Oryzias latipes: one gene and its partner. The protein of the gene in region 1 interacts with the protein of each later gene in a pairwise test. Links are inferred from orthologs where the notes say so. Each region holds a gene or a part of one and is shown on either strand. Other genes may lie near its edges.

What was found.
Region 2: the proteins of zcchc10 (region 1) and prr13 interact in binary tests that used the Homo sapiens proteins (3 or more experiments, as listed by UniProt). The two-hybrid records come from large-scale screens. The link is inferred for Oryzias latipes from reciprocal best matches to the Homo sapiens genes ZCCHC10 and PRR13.

The regions. Positions count from the first base shown.
Region 1 is NC_019872.2:6,666,269-6,670,670, forward strand, and holds the start of zcchc10 (zinc finger CCHC domain-containing protein 10), read right to left. Parts: upstream 2,869-4,402; 5' UTR 2,791-2,868; coding exon 2,750-2,790; intron 1,904-2,749; coding exon 1,742-1,903; intron 1-1,741.
Region 2 is NC_019863.2:10,423,626-10,428,102, forward strand, and holds the start of prr13 (proline-rich protein 13), read right to left. Parts: upstream 2,807-4,477; 5' UTR 2,682-2,806; intron 1,311-2,681; 5' UTR 1,258-1,310; coding exon 1,242-1,257; intron 1,164-1,241; coding exon 625-1,163; intron 1-624. UniProt on the Homo sapiens protein: Negatively regulates TSP1 expression at the level of transcription. This down-regulation was shown to reduce taxane-induced apoptosis.

The DNA of each region.
Region 1 (4,402 bases):
ACCTTTCTTTTGACCAAATGTGTTTTGTTGTTTTACTGTGTTATTTTATCCTGTTATGTTTAATTCTTTCTGCACCATGAGTGAGAGGGAGGGAGAGGAGGATGAGGTTATTTAGCAGCACTAGTACAAGAGTGCAGTCTAAGAACTGAAGTTACAGTCAGACTCATGATAATTAAAGGCATGGTATATATTGTAAATTCACACCATGTCATTCATTTTAATGTTATAGAAATGAGAAAATCTGCAGCCTCTAACTTAGACATATGAGAGTTCAAGAAGTACCATAAATTGAGATGGAAAAACATTTAATTGATTTGGAGTAATATGACATTTAGTTAGATAACTATGTAAATTTGAGTTCTAAAAACAATTAGAGTTTTATAGACGTAAGAAATTAGGTTGAATAAATTTAATTCCATCACTTGTTACCATTTGAATCAATTTTTTTAAGTTCGATAAGTTTTATTTATATACGTCACAATGTCATTTTAAATAAGATCAGAAACTTGTGCGTTTATTTCTCCGTTCTTTTTCTCCAAGCAGAAACTCTCTTTTGCTGATGCAGCCGTGTTACTTTTTGATGGGCGTATAATCTTCATACGCCGTCATTAAAATCTCAGACTCCGTCTCACTGAAGTATAGCGCTCTCTTTTGTTCTCCACGCGTTTCCATGGTGACTTGGGATATCGGCGATCCATTGAGAATGTCTTTATGTACCTGCTGTGCACGTGCGGTAACCCAGGGTTACCCAGTCGAGCGTAATTACGCCAACTCATATCCGGTCTTTTGGAACCGCCATACCCAGAGTAAGCAAGTTCAGGCGGATTTCAGCCAGAGTTCAGGCTTAAAGTCAGGGTAGTTTAAACATGCTTCCTGGAATACCCCCCTGGACTCTGACAACCATGCTCTAGTCCAGAGGTGGGCACTGAGGGCCGCAGTCCTGCATGTTTTCCAGCATACCCTGCTCTGGCATGTTCTGATTGGCTGGACACACCTGAACCAGGTAATCAGCCATGAGTAGGGCAAGAGTATCTGGAAATCATGCAGACACACCGGCCCTCGTGGCCTGGAATTGCCCACCCCTGCTCTAGTCTAAACCAACACTAAGGCTGTTCTTTCCATTGTCTTCTGCACCTTTCCTTTCATTCTTGCTGAAACTTTTTTGTCACACATCACATCTGAATCCTTCCTCAATCTGTTGCTTTGGACTGCTGACCTCTAAATACTTCAAGTCGTCCATCTTCTTCACCCCGGCTCCCTGTAATCTCACCAGAATCCTCCTCATTGTCCTTCTGAGATTGACCTTCACTCCTCTTCTTTCCAGAACAAGCCTACACCTCTCTAGATGTTCCTTCACTACAGAACACAGTGTCATCTGAAAACATCACAGTCCACAGAGATTCTTGTCTAAACCTCGTCTGTCAGTCTGTCCATCATCACATCAAACAATGAAGAGTTCAAGCTGATCCATTGTCCAGTCCCACCTCCACCTTGAAGTCTTCGGTCACACCTACAGCACACCTCACCAACCGCTCTACAGCCAATCTGGTAGAACAGTTCTGTCTGTGGTTCCGTTTTTGGATTTGGTTATGTTTTTCATATTGTATACAGTCACAACCTCCAGCATTTACAGACTTGGGATTCGCCACATGAAAGCATTGAATTGTGCCCCCTTGTGGTTAAATTCAAATTTAAGAAAGAATACAATTAGGATATTTAAGAAAAGAATAAGTGACCTTACCCAGTAATGCTTAGTGGTTTATTTTCGACTTCTTTCAATTTCTTTTTCATCTCAACTGTTCTTGATGGTCTGTGGACGTATTTTCTTTTGCCCGTACATTCATAGGTCCAGTGTCCCAACTCCAAACACTTTTGACATCGTACATGCTGTTTGTTTGCCTCCCTGTAGAAAAAAAAAAAAAGAGGTTTCAGATTCAACACTACAAAAGGAGTACGTTAAATGGGCCAAATCCATAAATACCTGGAAATACTTGATAGTTTTTCACAAGAAAATGTTTGTAATTGATCTTAGTGACGGAGGTTGAACCTCTGAATTTTTCTTTTTAAATATGAAGATGATATATATTGAGGCAGAGTAGCTTCCAAGTTCACAATTAGATTTAATTTGATTTTTTCCACTTTAAAAAAGGCCACTACAAATCCATTTGGTTCATAAAACAATTTTGGCATAAGTAAACCAAACCAAACTAAAAGAAAAATTCAATATTTTATATTACAGTGGATACTGATAAAATCTCATATTTTGAAAAGGATTTATAAAAGTCCTGAAAATTTTGTTTTTTCCTGCGTCAGATTCTTACTAAACCCAATTTTATTGAATTAATTGATTACTACCCAAGTAAGTGAACATAACACGGTCGGTGAGGCCATCAACGATTCACGAACTACTGAATTCTATCCCAACTTTTATGCAGTAAGCTCGTTCTTTATTAGATTGTACACAAACAAAATGTAGTTTTTCCGCCCCTTAATGTCTACTAAAATCCTCAGGAACGTGTGCGGTTGTATCGATAATTAGTTTGGGGCGTTAATGGCGGAAAACAAGTGTGAACAGCGAAAGAAGAAGCGCAGCATCTTAACTGTTTTTAAACAGTGAAATAATCGTTATTTACCGCTTCTATAGGATATTGCACCCAACAAAAAAGTGTAATTTATGTTTATCGATATGTTGTCTTCACATAAATTTGGTATGGAATCAGTAACGTTGTGATAACGAAAACATACTCACGCTTGTCTCCTGGCAATTATTCTGTGCATAGGAGTAGCCATGTTAAAATCTGATGCAACTTCTTCTGTGGTGTTTCTTCACAACGAGCTTCCGGAAAAGTTAATGTATTCAGCGCCCCCAGTGGTAAAAACGGATAAAGCTTTTTAAGGTCATGTTCATTTTTTCCCACTATTTTTGAAATTTTCATAACAAAAATTCTTTATAGTTTCCTTATTAATAAATGCGTTAAATTAATTTAATGCATTTATTAAGTAGAAATAATATTCAGTGGTTCTAATAATTCAACACAGTTACAACATCAATAGTACAAATAAGGAAATAAGCAAACATACAAACTACCTAGATGATGAGTTAAAGTTTGTACTTTTTCAGATTTAGTGTTAAAAATAGTAGATAAACTGAAAAATCATGTAAAAATGTATTTTCTTTTTTAGCAGCAGCAAGATTGTACATTCAACATTTTGATATGGATTTTAACTAGGCCTGCACAATATACCGCAAATTTATCGTTATCGCGACATCAAACTGTGCAATATGCATACCGCAAAAGACGGCAAAATCGCAATAAATGGTTACCTTGACCCTTGTGCTATCCTAAGCACTTTAACATTGGGAGTGGGGTCATCTAGACCCACTAAACAGTGCTCTGAACCTTTTTTCTTCTAGGATTTGTGATCTTCACTGGTGTCCATGGATTACATGAAATCTTTCCACCTTTATCCACCTTTGTCATGGTAGGAAGAACACGTCACTGTAAGGGGGGGTCATCTAAGATAGCACAAGGGTTAAATGTGCTAAAACAAACTCATGGCAGCTTGAAATATTGAATAAATGAAATAAATCCCTTTATGCATTTAACCAATCGGAAGGACTCGTTTACGTTGTTGATCAATCAAATGAGCCCTTTTATGTTTGATGTTTGCCTCCTATGTCGACAAGGGTCATTTGGAGTATAATTTTTATGCTGTTGCATTGAAATGGAAATGATGTTTTTGGTTGGTTTGATATTTGTTTATATACTGCAAATTATATCGTTATCGCAATATTAATCACCAATATCGCATATCGCGAGTTTTCCTCATATCGTGCAGCCCTAATTTTAACAAATTAATATATTTGAATTAGATGAAACAGATACGTTAAAACCTAATTGTCTGCCAATTTCAATATGATGCCAGTATTACCAAGTTAATTAATTGATACACATTCTTTGTACTATTGTAGTTGGGTTGAAGTACTGCAGTTTTGCTTGCATGTTTTGTTATGTTTTTGTACTTGTTTATGTTATTATTACAGTTGTTTTAATCTCATACTCATTATCATCATCATTTAGCTAATTTCTGACAAAAATAAATACAATGCATATTCTTATTAAAGTTGCAATTCGTTTGTTTATTTTTTTTTTATTTCAAATGTTTTTACCATGTATGTTAACAAAGAAAAAAATAAAACAAAAAAGCTTTCTCATAGGACTGTCTTACGAAAAAATTATTATTTGCTCTGAATAAAAAATTTAAAAAGCAAAATCTATGCCTATTGTAGACAAGATCATTTTCATTATTTAGGCTAACTTTGAAAAGCTTAAATCACAAAAGTTTTAATAACAAAAAGTATTATTGAAGATTAGAGTACAGTAGAATTTTATTTATATAA
Region 2 (4,477 bases), on another chromosome or scaffold:
TTAGAATGTCCGTCATTATTGCTTCGCGGCTGTGTAGACGCTACTTGGCGTCTATCTTCTTCGCTGGTATGTGTGCTCAGCAAGGCAGTTTTGTGTTTGAGCGCCCCCAAGTTGTGTTTTACTGTAACTTCAGAAGCTCCAGACACGTGAGCAAAAGCGCCATTCTCATTGGTCGAGTAGATTTCGACGCGACGCGTCGAAAAAAAAAACGAACCCAAGGCGTTTTTTTTTTTTGACGCTTTAACGCGTGGCGTTTTTTCGCGTCGGTGTGCACACTCTCGTTGGTGCCCTTTGTTTAGTCACGAGGCGTTAAACGTCGGCGAAAATCGCCGGCGAAATTCGTCCCGGTGTGAACAGGCCTTAACACTGAGCGTGTAAATCCAAGCAGGGGCGCAAAGGAAAATTGACCGCGAGGGATCACCGCTCATTTAGGATTGCAGGCGTGCAGTTTTAAAATACGGAGTCGCTCGGTTAGAATTGCGCCCGCGCGGTTGTAAGGTTTGCTCACTCAGTTTCCGAATACACCCGCTCAGTTGTCTTTACGCCCTTTCACTTTATGGCAGAGATGAAGCGCCATACAAGACAAACATTAACTAGCATTCTTTCACCCAAGCACAACCTCACCTTGCCATGTTTGTGTCCATGCTTTTGTTTATGAGCCTTCTTCATCTTTTTCTTCATCTTCTTATTGGCTTTATGTCCAACCAGCCCAATTCCCATTCCTGCAACCCCACCCGCTACTACTCCACCCATTGGCATGGCTCCTCCATGATGATGCCCTTTGTGGTGCCCCCCTTTGTGGTGCCCCCCTTTTGGAGAGTGTGGGTAGTGACCTGGATGAACACCAGCATGTGGGACTCCTGGAACTCCACCTGGAGCCATGGGATACGGGTGAGCTCCAGGTGCTCCATATGGCATCATTCCTGGAGCTCCATGTGGTCCCATGGCGACATTCCCACCAGCTGGGTACTGACCAGCTGGGTACTGACCAGCTGGGTACTGACCAGCTGGGTACTGACCAGCTGGGTACTGACCAGCTGGGTACTGACCAGCTGGGTATACTGGTTGTGGAGGAAAGACTCCTGCTGGAGGCACAGGAGGATATGCAGGGTTGTAGCCAGGGGCAAAGGCTGGGTTTGGTGGAGGCACTGAATGGGGAGGACCTGATCCAAAATAAAGCATTTTGTGGCTGACATTGCATTAGGTAATACAAACATTTATAAAGAATTTTGATATCCCACCTTGATTTGGCCACATGGTTTTGGTGTAGAGCCTAATGACAAACACACATCAGGTGTCACAATAGAATCCTGACAAACAAGCAGAAAGGAAAATCAATATAAAAATATGATTAAAAAGGGCAGTAAGTCAACATTACAATCATATAAAAATTAAAACTAAAACCTAGAAGTAAATAATTTCCCATTTCAGTTTAGTTACTTTTGTTCAATCAAGTCCAACCTACCGTTAAAAACAGTTGAATATTCTATAAATTACATTTAACAACATCTTTTGAACAATAGAAACAAGTCTTGAGAAGTTCATTTTAGCTCGGTTTTTGACAAAAATTTGCAACAGAGCCAACGGCACCGCAGTTGGAGACCAAGGGAAATGCTACTTGTTGTGGAGGGACCCCCCCCCCCCCCCCCCCTCAAAACGTCACATGTGATTGCAGCATTTTGTTTTAAAACCAGAATAATTGACACACATTTGTAAATTACCTTTTAGGATGTACATGAAAGTGAGGAAGAATAGAAATGTAATAATATGAATCATATTTTAAGTATCTCATTATATATTTTCTTATTATATATGCAATAAAACTCCAAATTTTTTGATCCATTGATTCTTCACAGATTTGTGTGTGGGGATTAGATATAGTTTATATTCAGCAGGGTTTTGTTTTGTTTTCTTGACAGTTTGGTTCTCACATAAAATAGTCATCTGTAAAACAAACAAAAAACGTCAACATTTGCATCATGTGATTTTGACACACCTCAGGTCGGACACACCTCAGTGTGGAAACATGATCTGTATGTTCGAATCCAGGGAACCAACAATTTTCAACAAGAAATTCTTCATATTTTTATCTTTCAAAAACCAGTTTGTGTTAAACGTAACAGTTGGGAAATAAAGGGTAATCTACAGCTGTTGGACAAGTGAATAGTGGGAGCTCAACTGAGCAAATCTCTGAAAGCCATGATGATAAGACTGCAATCTTATATTTTACATCAATGGAAGAAATAAACACAAATAATAGAATTATTTAACCACAACACAAGATTGGTAGAATGAGATCATTAAACAAGCTTGAGAAGTTGCCCAAAAGTCTATAAAAACTGAAATCTAAACATCACTGACACACAAAACAACAAAAAGAAAGTAAAACAGCTAACATTGATGTTTAAAGTATCTTGACGCAGTTATTTGTTTATTTTAAGTCCATTTTAATACATCTATTAAATCTACACTGGACCTGCATTATTTCTCCGCCTGCCACAAAGCAGGCCTAGATGTCGCAAAACGAACCCCTCGAGGAATTTTTCTTCGGCTAAGAAATTCACGCAAAGTTCGGCCTCTTACCGAATATCCTGCATTTAAAACACGAGATATTTCCGAATTATCTACTGTCAACATCTGTCGCACTGCCTATAACAAAATGCCAGGTTCCAAAAGCTTACCTGAGTAACTTGCCTCTGCTTGTTCGACGTCACTTAGAAACCCGGAGCTTCTTGTTGTCTTCCGCGTTGAGCTCTGCAGTTAACTGAGACTGCGCCTGGAAGCCACGCCCACCTCCGATCAAGAATGCACAGTATTGTGCCCACGTTGAAAGCTCATTTAATACTTTCAATGTCACAATCACAAAAGACGGAGTTTGTCACCACAGGGTGTGTCCAAAGGAAATACGACCATAATGGAAATGATTTTATCTGAAAATGTCCATTACATCATGGATCCACTGTAATTCTTTTTATTTAAAGAAAAGTTTAACAATTAACTTTTGCTCAAGCTCATAGCAGGATTTTTTATTGAACAAAACAGTATTTACAGACGGACTTTCATAATTTTGCATCAAAATGAGTTTTATAGACCTAATAATAAAATATCGTGCTATTAATGAAATACAATAACCAAACCCCTTTTTAAATTCAGTATTAACCAAATTTTTAAATAAAACTTGTATGAAATTGTACCACTATGCCACAAATAACTGGCAGTTATTTTTTTCCATTACTGTCTGCTTTCCATTTGGTCATCAAAACACAACAATGAGTCATTGTGCCCATGATATAATAACAAGACTGTATCAGCCAAACTGAATTCACTTTTATCAGGTTTACACAATTTTCATGATCTTTTTGTTTGTTTGTTTTTTTGTTTGTTTTTATATATTTAGTAAAACAATTTGGTGAGAGACAGTTATGAAGTGAGAACTCCGAATACAATAGAATTTCTTGTGTTTCATATATTCACAGCAAAACTGATTCTTAAATAAGAAATAAACTTCTTCATGAAAAAAACAATATTATCAGTGGAGATTAAAAAAAAGTCAGCTAAATGAAAGCACCATCAAACCATATGTGATTTATCATTTAAATAAAACTTAACTCGTGAATGAATAGCAAATTAGTAAGTCAAGCTTCTTTTTCAAACCTTTTAACTTGCTCAACTTTGTTTACTCAAAGCCAAATGTCGAGCCTTCTCATATGCAAAATCACAAATAAGGACTTTGAAGTACAGCGTTCTTCCTAAATGACTTTCAAGTACTCGCCACAAACCCACCTTTTTCTTCCGCTGTTCAATCAACCCCCCCCCCACACACACACACACACACCCACACACACACACACACACTTTTTTTAAGGAAAATTTTCTCTACCTCACATTTGGGATTTATGGCTCTTTTTAGGGAGCTGAATCTTTTGAATCAGTTCACTTGGAAGGGACGTTCAAAAGATTGGCTGATTTGGCTCTTTTTATAGTTATTTGCTTTTAAGACTAGCCTGGAGTTTATTCATTTAATCCTGGAAATAATCACAGGGAGGATTGATGGGCCTAGATTTGGATCAGAATAATTCAAATTCAGATTTTCCACCAATAATTGAGTTCATATTATTTTGGAAATATCAATTATAGTTTCATTTGACATGTGTGGACAAGATGTCTGATATGGATTCATTGTAAATATTTATGGAGAGCATATACTGTGTGTATGTATACTTTGAATTATGTTATTAACACAAAAGCTAAATCAGGGGTCTGCAACCTCTAAAAGAACCATTTGGTCCAGTTTCTTACTGAAAAATAAACGAGTTAGAGCCACAAAATCTTACTACTCCTTTTATAAAAATACACTTTTATGCAGCCTGTAGTAGCTTTTTAATTTTTTACAATATTTAAACCTTAACAGAGTTATATTTTTTAAGTAGGTTTTTGATTTATTTTAATCTGACAGCACCAGATTCAAGTTCCTTTC